2 linked regions of the Macaca mulatta genome follow. The main gene of each other region encodes a partner of the protein of the gene in region 2 in a complex. Links are inferred from orthologs where the notes say so. Each region holds a gene or a part of one and is shown on either strand. Other genes may lie near its edges. The genes, in order: MIDEAS and DNTTIP1.

The links.
Region 1: the proteins of DNTTIP1 (region 2) and MIDEAS are in contact, whole or in part, in a cryo-EM structure (PDB 6Z2J), measured with the Homo sapiens proteins. The link is inferred for Macaca mulatta from reciprocal best matches to the Homo sapiens genes DNTTIP1 and MIDEAS. Residues at the interface, in NP_443183.1 of Homo sapiens: Pro63, Ser66, Leu69, Leu70, Ala72, Val73, Leu74, Pro76, Ser77; in NP_001036783.1 of Homo sapiens: Gln768, Asp771, Leu772, Thr774, Ala775, Ser778, Ser779, Ile802, Leu803, Leu806.

Annotation. Positions count from the first base shown.
Region 1 is NC_133412.1:146,959,233-146,963,725, reverse strand, and holds the start of MIDEAS (mitotic deacetylase-associated SANT domain protein), read left to right. Parts: upstream 1-1,535; 5' UTR 1,536-2,079; intron 2,080-2,787; exon of another isoform or gene 2,788-2,878; intron 2,879-4,406; exon of another isoform or gene 4,407-4,493.
Region 2 is NC_133415.1:98,590,936-98,594,751, reverse strand, and holds part of DNTTIP1 (deoxynucleotidyltransferase terminal-interacting protein 1), read right to left. Parts: intron 2,584-3,816; coding exon 2,538-2,583; intron 472-2,537; coding exon 413-471; intron 312-412; coding exon 251-311; intron 1-250. UniProt on the Homo sapiens protein: Increases DNTT terminal deoxynucleotidyltransferase activity (in vitro). Also acts as a transcriptional regulator, binding to the consensus sequence 5'-GNTGCATG-3' following an AT-tract.

The sequences.
Region 1 (4,493 bases), on a different chromosome or scaffold from region 2:
TGCCCCAGCCTCCTGAATAGTTGGGATTATAGGCATGTGCCAACATGGCCAGCTAATTTTTGTATTTTTAGTAGAGACAAGGTTTCACCATGCTGGCCAGGCTGGTCTCCAACTCCTGACCTCAGGTGATCCACCTACCTCAGCCTCCCAAAGTGCTGGGATTACAGGCATGAACCACCACACCCAGCCTTATTTATCAGTCTCTAAACCCAGAACTTTCACACTTCTTTATCTGAATCTAGGAAATTTGTTTTACATTCTGACACTGCACGAATGTACCTATATAGTACATAATTGAAACAAATGCTACACAAAACAATACTTATTATTACTTAATGCAATACAACCAATATTGCATGCAATACTTAATGCAATGCAAAAAGTTAAGTTTTAATATATTCTCTTTTTGTAAAAAGAAACACCCTGGTGCTGACCCATAACCCCTCTCCTGAGACAGACTTACTTTCCCCCTTCTCTGAGATCTCATAGTGCTCTCTGCAAAGCTCAACTCGAATACTTCTCATACTGCATTGCAATGTATGTCATTCTCTCCCACTAGGGACTTTGTTCTTTTCATCTTTGCATCCCTAGCATACACAGTAATAGACATCCAGTGAGTGTTAACTGAAGAAGTGAGTGGAAAATGCCTGTCTGAGCTGGGCATGGTGGCACATGTCTGTAATCCCAGCACTTTGGGAGGCTAAGGCAGGCAGATCACCTGAGGTCAGGAGTTCAAGACCAGCCTGACCAACATGGTGAAACCCTGTCTCTACTAAAAATACAAAACTTAGCTGGACGTAGTGGCGGGAACCTGTAATCCCAGTTACTTGGGAGGCTGAGGCAGGTGAATTGTCTGAACCCAGGAGGCAGAGGTTCCAGTGAGCTGAGATCATGCCATTGTACTTCAGCCTGGGAGACAGAGTGAGACTCTGTCTCCAAAAAAAAAAAAAAAAAAAAAAAAGACAATGTCTGTCTATGTGCTCAACACAACAGAAAAGGATGGTACTTCCCCTCTATGGTGCCACATGATGCCTAGTGTGGTGTTGGAGAGCGCAGACCTTGGCAGTGAGCAACCGGGCTCAGGGAGGAATTCCTATGGATAGGAGTATATCCGCCTCCTGCAGAGAGGACCTAAATGCATAAAGAACTAGGACCAGCGACTTTAACCATTTCCCCCCTCCTTGGTTTTTTTCCCTGAAACGATGTGTTTGCATCCCCATGCTAGAATGCCTTTCTGTCCTCCACAGTAATTTAATTATATAAAACTGACTGTGCAGACTCAAAATTTGGGGCATTTGGCATTCTTGCAAAGCCAGACTCTAGGAAACATGCCCATTGCTGAACACATTGGATGTGGTTTAGGTAGCAAAGCAAATGACCTAACAAGGAATATATGTGCTGAGCCTAGTTCCTGTTAAATTAATAGATTCACGTTCTGGCACATCCACAACCTCACAAGTCATAGCAACCGGATGACGGCATGGCAACACAGCAGCTGCGGCCACTGTACATGAGAAAAATCAGAGCCTAGTGTCTCTGGAGGGAAAACAGAAACGGCCTCTACAATTGCTGGCTTGTACTGGATTGACTGAAGCGAGGGAGCCGTGGGGGCAATCACAAGTAGATGCCTGCCCTGGTCAGGGATTGAGTATGACATCTCTCCTGCTTCCTGAACCTTTGTTTTATATTTTAAAAGTAAATAATTTGTTCCAGCCAGAGAGGAAATGATGCTGAGAGAAAGACACCATCACGTGGACAGAATGTTCTCCCTCGCCCTAGCAGCAGTGTGGAGTTGATCCTTATCAGTGATAGTCCAGGACTTGCTCTTCAACAGCAGGACCACAAGCCTTTCTTCCTAGTTTTTTGACCTTCCACCCCAACCAAAATCGCCTACCCCTTCTGGCTGCCAGGGTTGAAGGCCCTTCTTGCCAACTCTCCTTCTAGGATGAAGCCCTGACTCCACAGCCACTGTTTGGGCCAAGCCCTTAGGGATCAGGGTAAATGCCCGGAGATGGAGGAAGAGGATGCCTGGACAGATGTCAATTCTGATGACACAAAAACATCTGCATGTGCTGTCAGGTAGGTGACACCCAATACCAGGGCTGCCTGGGACCGAGCAGGAGTCCACACCCCCTGACCTAGTTTAAAGTCAAGAATGACCCTTGCTCTGCAAAAGGACTGAGAGCTGGGCCTTCTGTTCTTGGGGTTTGTGTCTTACGCTTAGATCTGGCTCCGGCCCCTGCTTTCCTTTCCATGTTCTATCAGGAAGGCCATGCAGGGTTGTCACTGAGTCCCCATGGATTCTCTACTGGTCTCTGTCTTATTAGTGGCCGTGTAATGAATTCCTCAAAACACAGCAGCTTAAGACAACATTTATTATCTTATAGTTTCTGTGGGTGAGGAATCCAGGCAGCTTAGCTGGGTGCCTCTGCCTGAAGGGCCTGAGGGAGGCCCTTCAGCTATTGGCTGGGGTTGAAGGTCTTATCTGAAGTCTTGATTCATATAGGGGAAGAAGAGGCATCCCTTTCCAGGTTCTCTCAAATGGTGGTTGGCAGGCCTAGCTCCCTTTCTACCAGGCTGCCTTAGGACGTGGCAGTTGGCTTCCCCCACAGTGAGCGTTCCGAGAGAGCGAAAGGCATAGAGAGGACCGAGTACGGAAGCCGCAGTTTTTTTTATAACCTAGTCTCAGAAGTAACATCACATCACTGGCCATATTCTATTTGTCAGAACTCAGTCAATGAATTCAGCTTACACTTAAGGGAGAGGATTATACAAGGGTATGAATACCTGGAGGCAGAGATCATTGGCAGGGGGTGCATCTTAGAGGCTGTCTACCACATCCTCCACATGGTGCCCTGGTACTCCAGCAACTGCCACCCTATATAGAGAGAAAAGCAATGTATGTGTAAGTGTCAGGCCTTCACACATTTACACTGTCTGCTAATTACTCCTGGGCATGCAGAAATACTGAATATTCATGAAATTGTGACTGAAAATTTGGAATCACATACAGAACAAAAAAAAATTCAACTCTTGTTTTAGCAAATATGGAGTATCACATGATTGCCTTTAGAAGCCTGGATAACATATTCTCTCTACTCATTGGTTGCCTTAAGCAGAATGCCCTAAGGAATTACTTCTATTTATTCCAAAATTGAAATGGGCAATCCCTTCACCATCTTCCCACAACAGTGTGATGTAAGAAGAATTTCAGAGAAGTTTAATTATTGAGTCTAATGATGCACTTATTTCTCAAAGCTGTATTATTTTTCTTGCATTGCACATTTTGTATTTATGATGTGCCATTAATGTTTTAGTAAAAATCAGAACTAGGGCGAAGCAGCTGCAACGTGGAGGATTTCATGTTGCTAGGAGAGCTTCGATCTTCATATTTCCTATCTTTGGGTGAATCTGTGGCTTTCCATGAGGGATTAACACAGACCTGGGGATCATTTCCCAAATGTCATTTTCCACCAGTCTTACATCCACCTTTCTGAACAAAGCCTTCACTCAAGTCTATGGTTTCCTGTGTTTTCATAAAAAGATGAAGCATTGGAAGGGGTAGGTTTTATCTGGCCAGTGTGCTAGGAGAAGCAGTATTTGGGGAAAAAAGGAAAATTGTTGAGCCCTAACATGCTTTTGAACCACCTATTAAAAGATCCCTGTTTTCCACGACAAGCTACAATGAAGCTAATGTTTCTGTTATGAAAGCCCTTTACTGCAGTTTCGAATGTCTTTTTGTTTGTTTGTTTTTGTTTTCACCAGCAAAGGCTAACCCCGTTTTTTCTCCAGCCTTATGGGATCAGGAGTTCTTCCTTCAAGACTGCTGTTTAACTACTTGGTTGCTACTTACCCTAAAGGTGGCTTTCCGTTGTACTTTTTAATAAGGTGAACACATTTATTTTTAGCAATGATAAATTTCAGGATTACTATTGCCTGAAGCTGCCCTTCTCATGCCTCCACCCTACCCTCTAAGTCACTCTTGACCGGTGATGAAACAGAATGCATCAGACTCCATTCTCTGTGAGTTGAGTGTAAAGGAAGAGGTGGAAATCGCGGGGGAGGATTAGAACAGAAACCATGCTGCAGCCCCAGCTTCAGCTTGGGCGCTGAAATAGCCCCCAGAAGTGTGATACGTGGTAAACGTCTTGCTCACTTATAACCCGTAGAAATGACAAGGAACATCATGCAGACTTTTAGAGAGAACGTGGGGACTGGGACCCTTGTTTTAAGGCCCACTTTAGGCATTATTTAAGAACACAGCGCACACTGCTTTCTGACATGACATTTTTAGCCCCAGCACCAAACAGAAAAACTTTTTCTTTCCCCTCCCCAACCCCTTTGTTTGTGTACTGGTGTTTCTCCTGGAACCCCAGCTTTACAGGGACCCTGAACCCCACCACCACCTTCCAGACCAGCCTGAGACCAGGGGACTCCAGCGCGGGTCCCCGGATCGCACTTGGGCGCGGAAACGACGCGGCTGGAGCGAGCCT
Region 2 (3,816 bases):
AAGAAAATATAAGTGTGGTACTTAAAACTGTGTTTGGCACCCAATAAACTTGCAGGCAAAGTAGCTGTTATTACTGAGGCACAGAGGTGCTGAGTAAATCATGAAAGGTAAAAGTGAATGGCAGAGGTGCAACTAGAACCCAGATGTCCCGACTCCAAGATCAGTGTTTGTTCTAAGCTTCTCTGTGCTGAGTGGAGTTCCCAGTCTACTCCCAATGCAATGGCCTGCTTTCCTCTCAGCACTCACCTACCTTAAAGAGGTGTGGGTGCTTGATGTAGATTCTTCCTCTGGTGCCCCCCATCCCCAGCGCCCTGAAAAGTAAAAGCCAAGTGGTAAAGATTCCAGAAAGTGTAGTCCTACGAGTGAATTCCTGAGCTGTTTCCTCCATCAGTGCCAAAGCTCTTAAACTTACTTGTTGGCTCGAGATCCCAACACAAAGGTGGTAGATTCATTCAGGCGAGCTGGGTCCCACTGTGCAAAAAACAGAGAAGCTGGTGAGGGTGAAGTTTAATCTGGTGAGTAGGACAGAAATACTCCTCCCCCTGCCCTTTTCTAACCCTTACCCTTGTCTATTATTTAATCAACCGTTTACCTAAGACACTGAGTACTCACAATATGCTAGGCCCTGTCTGTGCTAGATACTGGGGATAAAGAGGTGAATAAGATACAGTCTCTGTTTTCTAGGATGCCACCGACATATGTACAGATAATTACATCATTATGCGATGAGGCAATGACACAGGTGAGTGCAGGGTCTGAGGGCTGCCGAGGGGAGGGTACAGCCAGGAAGGCTTCCTTAGAGAGGCATTTCCCAAGTTAATTCTGAAAGGGTGAGCACAAGTTGGGGTAAAGTGGGTGAGGAACAAGGGCATTCCAGACAGGGGGCAGCATGAGCAAAGACAGGTGAGAGGCAGCCTGGCATGCTGGAGAAACTGCTAGTAATTCTGTGCTGCTAACAGAGTACAAATTAGGGAGTGGCAACTGATGGGGCTGGAGAGAGAAACACAGAGGAGTAGGAGGTCCTGGGAGGTTATGTTCAGGGGACTGCATTTTATATCTTCTGTAGGCAATGGGGAATTGCTGAAGGCCTCTGAACAGGGAGTGAGAGATTTACTTTAAAGATAGGTTAGTCTTCTAGCAATGTGGATAATGGATTTGAAGGAGCAAGACTACAGGCAGGGAGAGCAGTTTAGAGGCCGCTGTGATAAAGCAGTTGGAAAGATGCTAAGGGCCTGAGCTAGGGCAGCAGTAAGGATGAAGAGAAGGAAATAGGAACTGCAATATATTTAAGAGGGAGAATTGTCCAGGACTTGACTGGATGTAGGGAGGTGAGGAAGAGGAGGAGGCAAAGATGATTAAGATAAACAATGTAAAGAAGGGCTGTGAGGAGATTCTGATTTCATGTTTGGATATGCTGAGTCTGAAATGACTATGGAACTTCCAGCAGAGTGGTCAACCAGATAGTAGGATATATAAGTTTTAAAGTAGAAAGAGAGGCATGGGATGGACAAAGAAGTATGGGAGTTTTAGAACATGGTGGTCCCTGAAACCATAAGAGTATATGATTTAGATTATCCAGAGAGTTACTTTAGATGGAGAAGTGGGCCAAGGAGAGAATTCTGGGGAACATCCATTTATATAAGTCACTGATGAGGAAGAACTCAGGAGAGAAAGGGAGGCAACAGAGGCTAATGGTTGAGAGCAGAGACTCTGGTGTCAGCGGGTCCTGGGTTTGAGACTTGGCTCGATCACTTACGAGTTATGTGACTTTGGGCAAGTCTTTTTTTTTTTTTTTTGAGACGGAGTCTCGCTCTGTCGCCCGGGCTGGAGTGCAGTGGCCGGATCTCGGCTCATTGCAAGCTCCGCCTCCTGGGTTCACGCCATTCTCCTGCCTCAGCCTCCGGAGTAGCTGGGACTACAGGCGCCCGCCACCTCGCCCGGCTAGTTTTTTGTATTTTTTAGCAGAGACGGGGTTTCCATGTTAACCAGGATGGTCTCGATCTCCTGACCTCGTGATCCTCCCGCCTCGGCCTCCCAAAGTGCTGGAATTACAGGCTTGAGCCACCGCGCCCGGCCAGACTTTGGGCAAGTCTTAAGTGCATTAAGTGTATAAGACAACTGAATAAAGTAATTTATGCCCACAGGGAAGTTGGCAGAAAAGGAAACCCCTTATTCATAGAATGGTTCACAGAATCGATCTCATGAGTTTGTTATAAAGATTAAATGAGACAGTCTACACAAAAGATTTAGGGCATTGCCTGTTACATACTAAGTATTGAGTCAGTATTAGTGACCACTAGCTCCTACAAGAAGGCTTCAGCAAAGAGTCAAGCCTTCTCTTTGTTTTGCCTCTAACTCCAATTCCCACACAGGATCCTCTCTGAGGCCAGTGTGGCTGGAGGTGGAGAGGGGGAAGATGGCTCTGGAATGGTGGACATGCATCCTTCGCCCCCTGCCCCTTTCCCCCATGGTGGATCCCAGAGATAGTGGGACTAGCTCCTGGGATAGTGGTCTCTGCCATGCTCATATAATCATACCTTAGGACCTTCCCGGCGAATTGGTTCACAGGATTTTGGTTTCCATCTGCTTGGAAGGAAAGAATAAAGGTGAATTCTCCAAGGTGAGACCTAGAACTGAATACTGGCTTGCTGGTGGTGGTAGGAGTTCCTCACACACTCTCACTTTAGCCTGGGTATCCTCCTTCGTGGTGACACATTAGAGGAGGAACAAACAGAAAAAAAGCACTGGACTAGAAGCCATTCTAGCACTAGCTCTGCTCTTACATAGTGGCATGAGCAACTCCAAGAACCTCTGAGTGGCAGTTTTCTCATCTGTCAAAAGAGACAAAAACAGCAACTGCCCTACCTATCTTGTGTTTGTGAGGAATAAAACTGCTTTGCGTAGGAGACACATCTAAGGTATGACAGTTAATACTATCCCATCTACTAAACCAGTTGTTTCAAACTAACCCCACGCCTCTGACCCAAACCAGTGTGGCTTTATTTGATTTAAATACTGGGCTTCCATGTAACGTTTTGTTTAAAAAAGATTCTGCTGCTTCAGAATTTTTTTAAAAAGTGGGGCTGGGGGGTGGGTTGAGGGGGGAAGGAAGGATGAATAGGCAGAGCACAGAGGATTTTTAGGGCAATGAAAGCACTCAGTGTGATATTAGAATGGTGGATGCCTGTCACTATGCATTTCTCTAAGTTCAGGTACAACACCAAGAGTGAACCCTCATGGAAACTATGCACTCTGAGGATCAAGACGAGTCAAAGCAGGCTCATCGAATGTAACAAATTTACCACTCTGGTGCCTGATGTTGATAATGGAGGAGGCTGTGCATGTGTAGGGGCAGGGAACATATGGGATAAGTCTGTACCTTCCTCTCAATTTTGCTGTGAACCTAAAACTGCTCTAAAAAAAATTAAGTCTAAAAAAAAATATATATATATATATATATGAAAATGACCAATTTGGAGGTAATGGTAACTATATGACATTAGGCAAGTAATTCTCTGAGTCTGTTCTGTATCTGAAAAATTAATGATACCTTCTTTAGAGGGTGGCTATAAAGATTAAAAGGTAAAGTATGTAACGTATTTAGACCAGTCATAAGCATTCAATATATACTAACAGTGACAAACCTCTGGTGTTCAATCAAGCTGGGCCAAATTGTTCAGGGGGTAAAACAATTTCCTCCTCACTACCCTTCTTCCTCACCCCTCAAACCAGGGTAACTCCCCTCCCTCCATGATGACTTAAGCTAATGGATCTGATTTTGACGGGCACAGAACCCTGGCCTCTTTTCCTTTAGGG